2 linked regions of the Tribolium castaneum genome follow. Each later gene encodes a partner of the first gene's protein in a complex. Links are inferred from orthologs where the notes say so. Each region holds a gene or a part of one and is shown in the gene's direction. Other genes may lie near its edges.

Region 1 (9,247 bases):
ACCCAATTATCTGTCATGCAAATCCATTTTTACCTTTAAACTCCTGACAGTCTCGCTGTGTTCTATCATGGTCTGCTGATGCTTGTTAGTTAGTTGGTCGTAGAGCGATTTAAGGTCCTCAACTTCGCTCAACACATCTTCATATTTGGTCAAGACTTCCGATTTTTCGTGAACCAATGCTTCATTTTCCTTCTTCAAATCGTCAACAACAGTTCTACAAACGTGACATCAGTCACAAAAACTAAATTTCCACTCTAACTTACTTGCACTTGTTTAGCTCCGCAGTGAGAGCCTCACACTTAACCCCCAGAGCTGACACTTCTTCCGACAATTTTTCCTCGAGACCAACATCGCGACTCTGGTTCTGTCTCAAGACACTCTGCGCCCGAACCTTGTAATTTTCGTAATCATTTTGCACGATTTTCAGTTCGTCTTCCTTCAGTTTTAGCGCATCTTGGACGTCTCTCAAAGTCTGCTGCAGCCCCAGAATTTGCCCTTTCAAATTTTCTTTCTCGCTTTTCAGGCTTGTGTTAACTTTCTGATGCTCGGCAATGACTTTGGATAACTCAGTCGACAGTTCCTCATTTTCCGAACGCACGGTTTCCAAAATTTGGGTCAAATCGTGAATTTTGTTCTCCTTACTCGACATGACCGATTCCAAGTCAGAAATTTGCTTCTTACAAGCGATAATTTCAGCCTGTGTTGCTCCGACTTCGCTCTTCATCTCTTCCGCTCGTTCTTCTAAAAGCTTGTTCTGTTCGCGGACCGCATTTGTTGTGCTTTTCTGCGACTCGAGCTGGCTTTTCAACTTGTTGATTTCTTCTTGCTTCTTTTCCAATTTCTGGGACAACTCCTTGACACTCCTCTCGTAGTCTTGCATTTCCAGGTTAAGGACGGAGTTTTTCTTGCGTTCGATATTGGAATGTTCAAGGGAATTTTTCGTTTGTTGGTGGTACTCGCTCTCGGCCTTGAGCGCCTGTTCTTTGGCCTCCAAGTCCGAGGTGAGTTTGGCGATTTTGGCCTCGTATTCCTTCTTCAAAACCTTATTCGCTTCGAGTTCCTTTCTAAACGTCGAAACTTTGCCGCTTATTTGCTTCTTCCAGGCTTCAGTCGTGACTTTCTCTTGGTTTAACTCTTCCAATTCTTTCTTGAGTATGGTGATTATCTCCTCGTTTTCGCTCAGTTTTTGCTTATCTTTGGAAACTTCAGCAAGGGTCGAATCCAATCGGGCGGAATATTCCTTTATTTGTTTTTTGTTTTCGTCCAATTCGTCTTGTAATTTATCGCACTGGGCTTGCAAAGTTGCGATGGTTTTCACGTTACTGGCACATTTTTGCTGAATATCGTTCTTCTCGTTTTGCTCCTTCACCAATTCGTTGGACAAGTCACGAACTTTCCCTTTCAGTTTCACGGCCAAGTTTCGTAGTTTTCCGTATCTTTCCTCCCAAGACCCTTCCAGATCTTTCATTCTGTTTGATTCCTCCGTTCTTGAAATTGTCGACGTGGACATGCACTCGCTATCGGCGTAACTTGAATCAAGATTCGAGTTTAACCGTTCTTTCAAATTCTCAATTTCGTTTTTCAAATCACTGATTTCGGAGGTGTTTGAGTTTAAGTCACTCGTGGCTTTAAGTCGCTCGATTTCGTCTTCAAGTTTTTTAATTATTTCCTCCTTTTGGGATATGTTGTCAACGTTTTTGTTGGCTTGTGTCTCATACAATTGCAATTTTTTCATAACTTCTTCGCAGTGAGATTGCAATTTGGAAATAGTCTCTCCTCTTTCTTTCAGTGCTTGATTCATTTCGTTCATTTCGGCCAAAAGTTCGGAATTTTCTCTCTTCAAACCTGACACGACTTCTTCCAGTTCGCTGTTTGTTGAATCCTCAGTTTGGCATTCCACTTGTTTGCAGTTATCACGGGTGGTTTGCAATTTTCGGTTCATTTCCACCAACTGGGCATTTTCTTGAACTAGTTTAAGTATTTCTTCACTGGTTTTATCAGCAATTTGCCTCTCCGTTTCTTTTGAATGTTCAAGTGCTTCTTGAAGACTGTAATTCTTCTGCTTCGCATCATTTAGCTCCCTCAAGTTTAAATCTAGATCCTCCTCCAGCTTGGAGATGACTTTTCGGTATTCAATGCAAATTTTTTCATTTTCTTCGATTCTGTTCTTGATCTCAATTGTGTCTTTCTTGCTTTGGTCGTCAAAAACTTTGATTTCTTCCTGATGTCTTTCCTCCAATTGAGACAAATTCTCAAGCAGACTCTCCTTTTCAACAGTGAGCGTTTCAACAGTTTGCTGGTAGTCAAGTTGAAGTTGTAACAATCTTTGATTTTCTTCAATCAATTTCTTATGTTCTTTGGAAATTCTCTCAAACTCGCCAAGTTCTTTACTTTTCTCGTCGTCGGTTTTATGTGCCTCAAGTTGTTTCAGATATTTTGCATTACTTTCTTTCAAACCTTCAATTTCCTTGTGATATTCAGAGTTCTGTACTTTGATATCACTAATTTCTTGGCACAACTTTTTTGAAGCTACACCCAACTGTTCTTTCCATTCTTCCACTTGATGTGAGTACGTTTTGAGCAAACGCAAAACCTCGTTTTTATTTTCCTTCAAAACCTTCACATTACCGGCCAGTTTTACAACTTTTGAGTGATAAAATTTCAGTCTCCCTTTAAGTTTCTCAACCAACTCCACATTTTCTCTTGTTTCATTTTTGATTTTTTCTAAATCCTCGACCAATTTCAATTTTTCCTGCAACTCTTGGCCTATCGTTAAAATGTTCTTATCCTTCTCCCCCAGATTCGTCTTGAGCACGTCAATTTTCTCCCTCATTGTGTTATTCTCAGCTTGCAACTTCTTAACTTCCTCTAAACTAATACTAAGCATCTTCTGCAACTCTGCAGACTTATCACTTGTGTCATCACTCCGTAACTTTTGATTCGCCTCTTCCAACATCAGCAGCTGATTTTGCTGTTCAAGTCCCAGGTTTTTGCACTCTTCGAGTTGCTTTTCCAGAGACTCCAGATGCGTAATCAGCTGCTCATTTTCATCCGTCAAACGCTTGATTTGCCTTTTATACGAAATATTCTCGCTTTCAAGCCTATCCTTCTCCTCACACAGACGTGCGTCTTGCGTGCAGTTTTGCACTTTATTCACCAAAGCGGCATTTTGGCTCTTCAAGTCTTCAATCGTGGTAACAAACTGCAACTTCTGTTGGGTCAAATTTTCGATAATTGCAGTTGTGGCATCTCCAGATTCCGATTTTAGCCTATTTTTCAGCTCGTTATTTTCCTCCTGGAGCGCGTCCTTCGCCTGTTTGGCCTTCTGGGCGAGAATCAAAAGCCGTTCGCACCGTTTAACCAATTCCTCTTTCGATAAATTCTCCAAAACGATTTTCTTGCCACTTTCGGATGGCGTATTCGATTCCATCTCGATAGTTACTTAATCTATTGTATTGTAATTTCCAAGTAATTAGCAATTACATTGTATTTTAATAATTTTTTATTATTTTGACACATCAATAGTATTTTGACAGCAAAAGTCGCCAACAAAAAGCGGAAAAGTTACTGTTTTTTGGTAACATGTTCACGTCACTTCTGCCATAACCTCAATCTTTGGCTTTCCAAAAATGGATGATTGGCTCTCATTTTCAATTAATTTAACGCTTTAGATAAAACTAGCTTTGTTTTCGAAATTTCGTTGCTTTAGTGGCAACAATTGCGTCATTTTTGGTTGTAAAATCCTCTCGACATGGATTTTACCATGAACGAAGTTTCCGACGAGGATTTAGTAAAAAACCGAGATTTAGTTGATTTCGGTAGTAAAGAGACGCGTTTTAGGTGACCCAATGGATAAATAGCGCTGCAGTGTCCCGCTCTGCTGCAGAAAAGCTTGAATACTTCCACAAATTGCAAGAAGTTTTGATTCGGAAGTCGCCCCATTTGCTGCCAAAGTTTTTACAAAACATGCTTAATTTCACGACTGATAGGAATGGGGACGTGAAAAAAGCGCTAGTGGGTTTTATTGAAGAGTTATGGTAGGTTTTATGCATTTTAATTGGTTACTTAACTTTTGTTTTAGCAAAATGCGCGAGTCTCTTTTACCTAAAGTAATGCTAAACCTTCATATGCTACTATGTGATGAGTCAATAGCGGTGCAAAAGCGCGTAATTCAAGCTTTAATCAGTATTTATCGCAAAACGTTGGCCTGGTTATGCAAGGCTTCTGTAATTACAGAAGAAATGGAAAACGCCTGGAAGCAATTGTCTGCCATAAAATTAGAAATTGCAAATATGATTGATAGTGACAATGACGGCATTAGGACTAGTTCAGTGAAATTTTTAGAATGTGTTGTGTTGTTGCAAACTTATCCCGACCAGGAAGAGAACAAGAAACCGAACGACTTCTCACTCGATGATGTTCCTCTGACGTTAAAATTGGCGCGGAGGCGAAAACTAGAAGAGGAAGCAAAGTATTTATTTTTTTTTAAATTCGCAAATTTCTAATTGAATTTTTTAGTACCTTGTTTGAGTTACTTTTAAAATTTTTTGGCTCTCCCCATATTAGCAGTGCCAACTTGTTAACCTGCCTGGGCGTTGTTACAAACATTGCAAAAAATCGGGCCGAATTTATGTCTCGAGTTGTCTCAGCTATTGAATCACTTTACAATAACCTACCTCCAACTCTAACAACAACTCAAGTGAATTCCGTGCGTAAAAAATTAAAATCCGAACTCGCTGGACTTATCAAACACCCAGCGGCTTACGAATTTGTGGAGAAATTAACCCCAATGCTCACCGATTTAGGTGCGTTTTATTTTTACGCAAAAAAATTTTTTAGGATTTTTTTCTCAGGTTATTCCCAGCAAGACATTCTTAAAATGGTACCGAAACCCGACGAGCGGCGGAAATATTGCAAGAGGACTCTCTCAGTTGAGTCCCTTCAGATCTACAATAAAAGACCTAGACTTGATCCTCAAATTGAATTCGATAACGACACCAATGACAGTGATTCGCAAACACTGCAAGAGTTGAATGAGAACTTTGTGTCTGAAAATTTCACGTTGGAAAGAGCGGTTCAAATGGTTTTCGCTTCTATGAGTAAACTGCCGGCTACAATGTCTCCCGATTTTGCGAAAGAGTATGGCAAATATGTCGATAGTGGAAAAGTTGGCCAATTTGATGTTTTGACAAAACTTATTGCCACGTATTTGACTGAGGCCGGGGTTTCGCCGTCTTCGAAAAGTTTTGCAAAAAAGGTCGAGGAATTTAGACAGCAGGAGAAGGAGGAAGAGGACAAGGAAGAGAAGGAAAAGGTAAGAAAACAATTTTTGCACACAAATAATATAATAATAAGTAAAACAGAAACAGTAATTTGCAATTCAGATTTCACATTTTCAGCTGTATTTAAGAAAAGATAAGATGTAATTCATTGTACCAAATATTTGTCTATTTATTTATTTATTTATTTATGTATTTATCTTTATCTGTTAGCTTATGTTGGTTCGGATGATTTGAGAAGTTATGTATCACGCATCCTGTATTTTTTTTAAGTTATGTTTTGATAACTTATCGTAATTGTGAGGTCAAAGAAATTTTAGTAATTATTCTTAAAAAAAAATATAATGAAGCCTCTATTTGTTTTACAACATGTTTTACACATTTGGTAGCTCCTGAAGAAGGAACGAGCAAAAGTTCCCCGAATCAAGACACTGAAACTGTCCGAAATCACCAAACCTATCGAGAAAGAAACAAAGGAGAAATTGTTAATAGGGTCCATAAACCGACTTTTAACCGCGGACAAAACAGCCGCAAAATGCTTGTACCAAAAACTAATCACCACAATCGCAGCCTGCTTTAGCCCCACTGTCAGACAAACAGTGTTGGCGTTTCTCCTATCAGACTTACGGTCTCACATAGACCTGGCCCTGGCGTGGCTTTTTGAAGAGTACGGAATACTGCAGGGCTTCTCAAGAGTGCCCCCTTTACGCAAAGACACCAAACTGGACAAAAGCTACAACATCTTGCTTTGCACATTTATAAACGCTTGTATGCACGACTCAGCAGTGCTCTGTCGATTGTTTTTGGAAGCGCCTTTAATAACAGACGAGGCTTTGGATAAGCTCCACCAGTTGTGCCGAGACGAGAAGAAATGCACAGCAGCTTTGGGGTTGTTGCACGATTTGACGGTCCGGAAGCCCCCCAAACAGTTGATGTTCCTCAACGCCCTCCTCTCGTACACGACGTACGAATTGAGCGTGGTAAGAGAGTGTGCCATTGGACACGTTTTGGAGTTGCACAAGAAGGTGGAGTTGAGGTTGGTGATTGAGGAGTTTGCACGAATGAATTTGGAGTTTTTGAAGTTGCAAAGGCCGCCGGAGAGTTTGTGTGGGTTTAGTCAAGGGAGGTTGAAGAGCGAGACTTGGGGCGATGATTTTATAAAAGCTTGTCTTATTCCGTATATTTCGCTATTGCCAGCCAATGAGAGTCTTATTCATGACTTGGCTAAGGTTTACGTACAGACGGGGGCCAACATTAAACGGATTATTCTACGTCTGCTTGAAACCCCGATCAGATCAATGGGGATGGACTCACCTGAGCTTCTAAAACTGGTGGAGGAGTGTCCCAAAGGCTCGGAAACTTTGGTCACGCGTGTTATACACGTTTTGACGGACAAGGGCCCCCCGAGTGCACAGTTGGTGCAAAGAGTCAGGGAATTGTATCACACGAGAGTGTCAGATGTTAGGTTTCTTATCCCAGTTTTGAACGGGTTATCAAAGAAAGAAGTAATGAGGTCGAGCGTCGTTTGTACTTTTGACTAATTTGTACAATTGTAGGTAATTGCAGCTTTGCCAAAGCTAATTAAATTGAACCCGGTTGTTGTAAGGGAAGTCTTTAACCGACTTTTAGGCTTACATGGTGACAGTCCAATTACCCCAACTGAACTTTTGGTCGCTCTACATTTAATTGATTCCACGAAAGCCGACTTGAAAACTATAATTAAGGCCACATCTATGTGTCTTCAGGAAAAACAAGTACGAATTATTTTCGCACCGAATATATTTCTCAAATTACCAAATTCCAGGTATTTACTCAAGAAGTATTAGCTGTTGTTTTGCAACAGTTAATGGACCAAACCCCGCTACCAACTCTACTCATGAGGACTGTCATCCAAGCTTTGGGCAGTTATCCCCGACTGTCAGGGTTCGTGATGAATATTTTGCAACGTCTGATCTTAAAACAGGTTCTGTCGTATTACAAAAAAAAAATAATCAATATTTTTTGTTGCTTTTTGAAGGTTTGGAAACAGAAAGTGGTATGGGAGGGATTTATCAAATGTTGTCAAAGAACAAAACCGCAAAGTTTTACTGTTTTGATGCAATTACCACCGCCCCAACTATCTGATGCGTTGTCAATTTGTCCCGAGTTGAGGGAACCGCTCAAAGAGCATTTGCTGAATTTTACTGAAGGGCAAAGGTCGCACATCCCGCCCACAGTCCAGGAAATCATTTTAGGAAGTTACGCACAGCCGCCACCAACGATTGTTCCGCCACCGGTGGTTGTAACTCCAGAAGAGGTAAGTCCTAGTGACTTTTAATACTATTTAAAATAGTTGAGATCGAAACTGTAATCAATTAAAAAGGCTTTGTTGGGTGGAACTGTTTTAGTTGCAGCTTAATCAGCAGTTCCAATTTTCTGCGGTTTTTTAGACAATTTTTTTTTCAGCCGATTGCTGCGCCCCCGACATTAGCCAACGAGCCTTTGCCGCCCGGAATGGAATAAGCGTTAATTTAACTTTTATTATCTCAATTTTATTAACAAATGAATAAAAAACCTTACTTTAATTGTGTATTTTTACCTACATTTGGAATGTAATTGAGACTTTTGAAATTGCGGAACTTTTCGTCGAACTGGACTCAGATTTGACGCTTTTAACGTCAGAAACGTCTTTTTCTTGATTACAAGAACTGCTGGACGTAGACCTTGTTGATTCTGAGCAGGCACACAAGGAGGCAATTGTGCGTTTTTCGGGTAATTTGACGTCATATTCGAGCGTGTAACGAGTAATCAGCGGTGCCATTTCTTGATAACGTATAGACATTTCCACCAAACGCTGCATAGCACTGAGATTAGCTTCCTTCAATTGGCGGATTTCCAAGTCTCTCTGAAAAGATAAACAAATAATAATTGGAAAAAATGTAAATAAACTTACGTCATATTTTTCACGTTCCTTGTGACGAACTTTCTTTTGTGCGAGTTTTAAACAACGTTCAGCTCTTTTGAGCTTTTCTTCTTTCTCAGAGCTTTCTTTCTCAGTTTTTAAGTACTCTTCCTCCAAGTCGAAAAGTGCGTCTTTGGCTTGATCGCGTTTTATTTCAAGCTCTTTTAGTGCATTTTGTACTTCTACGAATAATAAACGATGTTAGAACGTTTGTGTTGCATTTTGAATTTTTGTATTGTGAGTGAAAAACGGTAAATATTATAAAATAATTAATAAAACAACATTAAGTGACAGTAAGTTTTTTTGTTTACACTGTTTATCTGCGATAGTTTTTTTTTTCTTATGATTGAACGTAATTATGTAATTAAAGACAGGCGAGTAAAATGTTTGTAATTTTAGCGCAAGTTGTAAATAAAAATGTTCAATTTGATAATAAAATTTTGTTACCTTCCAGTTCTTGTCGTTTCACTGCCATCTTCTTCCTATTCTCCCGCAAAGTATCATTTATCAAAAGCATTTCATTTTCCAACATTTTCATTTCACTCATTTCCCGTCCTGTAACCGCCAGTTCTAGAAATTTGCAGCACAAGAAAATAGTTACCATCATCCTCAACCGCTCCAAGACTTTGCTTAAAGGCCGCATTTGTCAAATTGACAACCTTCAAAGTGTTTTCCATCGCAAGAATTTCCTTTTCTGCCTTTTTTATCTTCATATCTAGCTCATCTCCTTCCTGTTGCAACAAATACTTTTCTTGCGCATTCTTAATCTTAAAGTGAGTAACAGACAGTGGCTGTCCGTCCTCATCTTTCCCCAAACTGGTCAAAATAATGTCATATTTTTTCTTGAAATGGTCCAGTTTTAGTCGCCTTTCGGCGATATCGCATCTTAATCGTCCATTGTCTTCACCCAAGTTGCGTTTTTTCGCAAGAAGGATATCTTTACTGGTCTCAATTTCAAGCATGCGTTCTTGAGTCGCTTGTTCCAAAGTTAATTTGAATTTTTTCATGGTGTAGATACTGTTTTCTT
Region 2 (6,003 bases), about 4.6 Mb from region 1:
CAATGTCAATCAGATCAAGTCTGTGCTGATTTGAGTCTCTTCCTCGCCAAAACGCTTGCCCTGTTCTATTTTCCCACGATTCTTTCACATTTCCTTGGACAGAGAGCATATCTAACATCACTCGACCCATATTTTCTAGTGTTGATTCGGTAATATCATACGTTGGCATAACAATGTCCAGACTTGTGGTGCTTCCGCACCACGAAAAAATTGGAAATGTTTCGATTTTTTCAGTCACCAAAGGCCAGTCGCCCAAATTAATGAAAAATTCCAGGTCGGGTAAGTTCACTTTTCGGCTCAAGGATAACAAAATCGCGTCCATGAACATCTTAAAACCTACGTATTTTCCGTAACAAGTACGGTAAATTTCATTATTTTTTATGACGTAGCGGCACAAACTGATTGAGTGCGGCTGGTCGAATTTTTTAATTACTTTATCCCTAAGTTTATCCCAATTAACTGTTTGGAAGGGCTTCAGGTCGGCGAGAATTTGCCGAGGGGTGTTGCCACATTCCCATTTTTCCAAAAATTGGGCAATATCACCAACTGGACAATCACAATCGTCTGGATAAACAGGTTCTGGAATTTCATAAGGAGACTTGTCCACATGTTCCTTATTGAGGAGTATATTAATTTTTAAGCTGAAGCACGGCTCATACAACTTATATCTAATAATGTAGGAACCGTCTTTCCTATTGAGACTGTTTGCCCAAATGCGGCAAGGCTTCTGTGTCTTGGTTACACCTTCAAAGTGTATGTCGAAGATTGCCCCCAAGTCTGAGGAAATACTAAAATGTGTTTTTACTAAATGAAAACGTATAAAAATTGGTTGTACCTTTGATTTTCTGAATTTACGGCTTGAATAAAAAAATACCTCGCCGGCATTGTAAAAATGTGAGGTTTGAGTCCAGGCCCCCATACTTTTGATAATTTGGCACTAACAATTAATTCGCTCCTTACGTGAGAAAACAGTACGATAAATGGAAAATAAAAATAAATAAATTTGCACATTTTTGAGGTTAACAAGCGCCTGACATGTTTTTAAATCACAGAACTGCCAATCTCGTAAAATTTAAATCGCGGAGTGAAAGATGTGTAATATTTTTGTTGTAAAAAATCCCAAAATGAAAGTAATAGGACCGGTAGGGATATTTTCGGTCAATTAATTGATCAATGTTGAGAAATTACTAAAATCCTGCTTAATAATAAATCGTTGTAATTTTAAAAAGCAACATCAGTGACACCAACAATTGGACAAAAATTCCCAAAATTATTACACCTTGCGACCTTGAATTCCACATTAGCAATTTCCAAATTTCTAATTTGGCATATAAAAGCTATGGATTTGATAATTTTTAGTTAATTATCGCATTTTCTCATAGCTCTATTTGTATTTATTATAACAATCAAATTGCATCATATTCTTTTAAGTTTAGACTATAGTTTTTTGGGTTATGTTAAATACTTTGCGTTAATTTCTCACAAAAAGGGATTAAAATTAAGAAAATGTCCAATATTAGCGATTTACGCATCGCGGTAATATGCTCCAGCAACATGAACCGCAGCATGGAGGCCCATGCCTTCCTGGCGAAAAAAGGCTTCCTAGTGCAGTCCTTTGGAACTGGGGACAAGGTCAAAATACCTGGATCAGCAGCAGATAAGCCAAACATATACGATTTTGGCATTTCCTACGACGAGATTTACCACGACTTGTTGGGTAAAGACAAGTCACTGTATCCTTTTTATTAAAGAAGTTGGTTCCGTTCAGTGGTGTGGTTTTTCCTTGACGATTTACTAGGTACACACAAAATGGCTTACTTCACACTTTGGATAGGAACAGGAGGATTAAAACACACCCAGAAAGGTTCCAGGAGACTGACGAAAAGTTTGATATTTTGATAACTTGCGAGGAACGAGTTTACGACCAAGTGGTGGAGTATATGGAGAGCAAAACGCCTGTAGATAATTCCATAGTGCATGTGATCAATATTGATATTCAGGATAACTTGGAGGAAGCAACAATAGGAGCCTTTTTAATAAGTGATATGTGTCTTATGGTAACTCAATGAGGGGTGGGGAATTATCATTGACTTTCTTCAACTTTCAGTTAGCCAAAGCCGAGGACTTAGACAATGATATCGAGGAGGTTTTACACAATTTTGAGGAAAAATGCCAAAGGCCTATTTTGCACAGCATTGTATTTAATTAATTTATTGGTTCATATAAAATATTCACAACTTATATTTTGTCTTCCTGAATAAACTTTTACATAACAGAGACGTCAGTGTTGGTCCAGATGAGCATAAACTCTTCTCAATTTCTCCCTCTTGTTTTTATTTTCATGCCTGTTGATTTTTTTCCAAGGTTTATCACCCAGTTGTTGGACGCTGCCACTACGAGAAAAAAATAGAAAAAACACCAAACGTTACATTGCATACTTGGCAGCCCCATAACCATTTATCACTGTCTTTCCTTTTGTATGTACAGTTGATGAGCCTCCGTGAAAAAATAACTTATCAACGTCTTCAGTTGTTGCACGACTTGTCTACAAAAATCAAATAAATGAACAATTTTTAATGCCATCTTCATACTTTTATAGCACGTATTTGGCGAGGAGGGGCTGATTTTTCCAAAGAGCGAAATTTCTGCCTTTCTGGCCACCTGTGGTACTCCCTTTGGACAACATTTGGAGGAGCGTGACAATATAATAATTTACCATTCATATAATCCTTCAAAATGTATCTAGCGGCTCTGGGATTATCAGGTTGGCCATTAGCAGTCATAAACCCTCTGTTATCTACAAAATAAAACAATTATTAACATTAATAAAAAATATTTCAACTGGATTTTACAAGCATATGCATTGAGTAATTCCTCTGAAGTGGGACACCTGTCAGGGTCCTCGCCCTCCAAGGGAGCTGGTAACATAATCCCATACTTGTCTTCTAACACATGTTTGGGAATTAACGTCGCAATTAAATTTACAGGGGGCACATGATCACGCATTTGATCTATTGGCAGGATTCCATTTATAATCATTTCGGCTTTTGTGAAAACAAACTTAGGCATTACCAGGCCGGGACAATCGCAGAGAAGCAAATTTTTCGTAAGAAAAAGCGTTTGGAAATGTTTGGTTTTTCCCGGAGTTGCCGAAACTGAAACTTTCTTAGCAGACAACAGTGAATTAATTGTAGAACTTTTCCCCACATTTGGATACCCAACAAGGCCAATAGTAGTGATATCTTCAGTAACTTTAGGCCCCTTATGAATGTCTTTGAACAAATCCATCAACTGATCTTTGGTTAATATCTCGCTTGAATTTTGAAACTCTAGTTTTAGGGCCCCAATAATCTCATTCAATTTTTGGGCAGTTTTTTCAACTTCTTTTTCCAAGTTGGATACGCAGTCTTGCAGCTGATTCAGTTTTGATTGGTCCTCGTCACCTCTCGGTTCACTCTCTTTTGGGGTTTCCGAAGCTAAAGCCGCTGAATAAAAAACAGCTTTCACGTTTTGCGACATGAAATAGTCAGCCCAGGCTTGCCTTTGCTCCAGTGTTAAAAAATCGGCTTTGTTAACTAGGACAATGTTCATTTTGTCTGGTGACACTTCCTTTGTGTATTTTTCCAAGTCTTCACAATAGAAAAGAAGCGGGTTTCTGGCATCAACAATTTGCACAATCACGTCACTTTTCTCCACAACTCTCCACAATTGTCTCCAAAACTCAAGATTCTTCTCATAAGGAGTCAAGAGAATGCCTTCGTCCTCCTGCAATTTGGCCAAGCCTTTGCGCCACTGGAGAAAGTACTCTTTTTCATTTTGATCCAGCTCTTCTTTACTCATGTTTGCGTTCCAAGGGGGCCGTCTCGGAATCCGCAACTCCCCCTTGTGCTTGTCATGCAAATCCTTCGCTTTATTCATCTCATCTTTAGTCAGCAAACCCACATTTGATTTAGGGTTCACGAACTTGATGTCAAGCTTTTCAGCCTGAAACTCGGCACCTGTTAATTCAGCGGTGGCCAAGAACTCTTGAAACGATGACTCCTCGGTCACTGATTGTAAATTCAAACGGCCCCAATCGTACCCATCTTGCAATTCCGTCGTATGCAACTTGAATAAAAAATTTCATGTTTTGTAATTTGTTAAAATACAGTACCATGGACTTGTCCGCTGTTAGTTTACGACCTTTGGTGCTCCCGAAGCGGTCCTTGATCAAGGAACGGCCCAAACCAGACGAAGATTTTGATTTTTTACCCATGTTTTTTTCAGTCAAAAAATGAAAAACGAGGAGACATAACCTCAACTGTCAGGTGTCGACCACCCGTCTCTTTTCAACATAGCGCTATCTTTGTTATTTTTGGTGTTGTGTCAGGTGCACCAACCAGAGGAACCGAGCAACTAGGAAAAGTAAATCGCAAATTATGGCACAAATCCTCATAAATAATTAATAACAATTTCAAATGTGGCACAGTTTTGGTGTGAGATTTTAAATAAAGGGGCAGTGTGTCGGTAAAATCGTTTATTAGCGTAATACTATACAACAGGAAAAAAACAAAAACCCTACAACTAGTTCTCGATGCTCTTCATTTTGTTGGTATCAAAATTATTAAAATCCATACAAGCCCGTGGTATTGTCAAAATCGTAAACTAAAAATTGTCGTAATTTGTTTGTGAACGGATAGATGCTTCGTTTTGTCGAATCCGCGAGTCCAGGAAGTCTTAAAGTAAAGGTAAATGTTGGAATTGTTGTGCCCGGTGTCGGGAAATTTTCATTTTTGGAACAAATTTTCTTCAAGCTTTCGGTTCCACAAGGTTATATTTTTTCACGGTTTCCCTCGCCGTGAAATAATTCATGCCAATGATCGACAATTGGTTCAAGTTCCCCAACGTTAGAAAAATATCCGTGAGCAGGTTCGATCTGTTATTATCGAATAAATAAGTCTTGGAGAAAAGCTCCAAAACACTCAAAAACCACAACGCAGCGAAGCAAATAATGGCAATTTTTAGCTGCTTAGCGGCGTTGGCATCCTCACTCCGCAGTTTCATTTCCTTGATTTTCGTGTAGAGGATTGTTACAAAATAGACTAGGAACACCATCAAGGTGTAGAACCTGTACATCTTGTCAAAGTCGGGGCAGGTGTCTAGCTGCTTAGGCCTCCGGTAGATGTTTATCTTGGTGTTGTCCCGAGTCGCGTTCACAATGGTGTAGATATGTTTGACAACATCGTTGATTTCTTGACTCTTCTCCGGGATTGAGACGTTTATAGGCTGGTAAATTATGCTCCAAATGTTGGAGTCGATCGAGTTTGGGTCAAAGAAGCGTGACACGAAACCGATTTTGTCCATTGCGAAATACAGGGTTATGACAAATATGACTGGGAGCAGAAAAATCACGAGAATTTTAACCACGAGCTTAAGCTTGTTTGTACAAGCTTGACTGTCTTCAGTGCCCGGTTCAGGTGAACCAGACTCTTCCAAATCATCGGTTTTTGTGGGCTTTTGTTGAATTTTGGCCGAGGTTGGCTTTTCCGGTTGTTTACTAGCCCCCATCAGGAGTGACACGACGGAGTGTAGAAACGAGTAGAGAAACATTGAATTTTCCATAAATATCTCATCGAAACACTTTTCATTAGGAAAAACCGTAGCATTCGAATTCGCCTCCCGTTTTCTTACAATTTTACTCGCATTGTGTTTCATAATTTTGTGTATAAACGACTGGTAATTGTGTAAAAAGTCTTCATTCGGGTTTGTGCTATTTTCAAATGGAGGCATGGTCGTATCTGTGGCTTCAGTCGTAGGAGTCTCGGGGTAATATTCAGTGATTTTGTCTTCATTTTCTTGGATAATTGTTACATCATCCTCGACCCCCAACACCGTGTTTGTTGGACTTATGACGTGCTGTGACATCACGATAGCACAGTAAAAGTAAAATATTCCAATAAAAATTGTATTGAGCGATTCGGACAAAGCGGGAACTGTGATATTTTGCAAGTTTGTTGTTTTGAG

The links.
Region 2: the proteins of Sym (region 1) and Ssu72 are in contact, whole or in part, in a crystal structure (PDB 4YGX), measured with the Drosophila melanogaster proteins. The link is inferred for Tribolium castaneum from reciprocal best matches to the Drosophila melanogaster genes Sym and Ssu72. Residues at the interface, in NP_649580.1 of Drosophila melanogaster: Glu91, Ala117, Lys121, Gln125, Gly128, Ser129, Glu169, Asn170, Asp171, Gly172, Thr175, Asn176, Lys179, Phe180, Arg198, Ser240, Ser241, Val242, Ile245, Ala246, Ser249, Thr281, Ser283, Gln284, Ser286, Ser287, Lys290, Met294, Gln295; in NP_001285455.1 of Drosophila melanogaster: Glu114, Tyr117, Asp118, Val121, Met122, Glu125, Glu128, Ser129, Val130, Asp131, Asn132, Arg133, Pro134, Asp168, Asp170, Asn171, Asp174, Gln178, Glu181, Val187, Ile188, Leu189, His190, Ser191, Val192, Phe194.

What each region holds. Positions count from the first base shown.
Region 1 is NC_087398.1:8,153,812-8,163,058, forward strand, and holds Sym (symplekin), read left to right. Parts: upstream 1-3,603; 5' UTR 3,604-3,751; coding exon 3,752-3,790; intron 3,791-3,840; coding exon 3,841-4,037; intron 4,038-4,081; coding exon 4,082-4,471; intron 4,472-4,518; coding exon 4,519-4,805; intron 4,806-4,853; coding exon 4,854-5,314; intron 5,315-5,668; coding exon 5,669-6,784; intron 6,785-6,835; coding exon 6,836-7,033; intron 7,034-7,083; coding exon 7,084-7,242; intron 7,243-7,296; coding exon 7,297-7,575; intron 7,576-7,724; coding exon 7,725-7,781; 3' UTR 7,782-7,843; downstream 7,844-9,247. Other genes in the region: GRIP and coiled-coil domain-containing protein 2-like, read right to left, coding at 34-214, 264-3,430; Ccdc39 (coiled-coil domain-containing protein 39), read right to left, coding at 7,858-8,163, 8,212-8,402, 8,668-8,775, 8,822-9,247. UniProt on the Drosophila melanogaster protein: Component of a protein complex required for cotranscriptional processing of 3'-ends of polyadenylated and histone pre-mRNA. Involved in germline stem cell transit amplification, differentiation and mitosis-to-meiosis transition.
Region 2 is NC_087398.1:12,798,582-12,804,584, forward strand, and holds Ssu72 (RNA polymerase II subunit A C-terminal domain phosphatase SSU72), read left to right. Parts: upstream 1-1,269; 5' UTR 1,270-1,506; coding exon 1,507-1,733; intron 1,734-1,798; coding exon 1,799-2,057; intron 2,058-2,107; coding exon 2,108-2,209; 3' UTR 2,210-2,279; downstream 2,280-6,003. Other genes in the region: protein O-glucosyltransferase 2, read right to left, coding at 1-788, 836-1,011; Ns3 (large subunit GTPase 1 homolog), read right to left, coding at 2,282-2,393, 2,439-2,545, 2,592-2,797, 2,853-4,107, 4,154-4,255.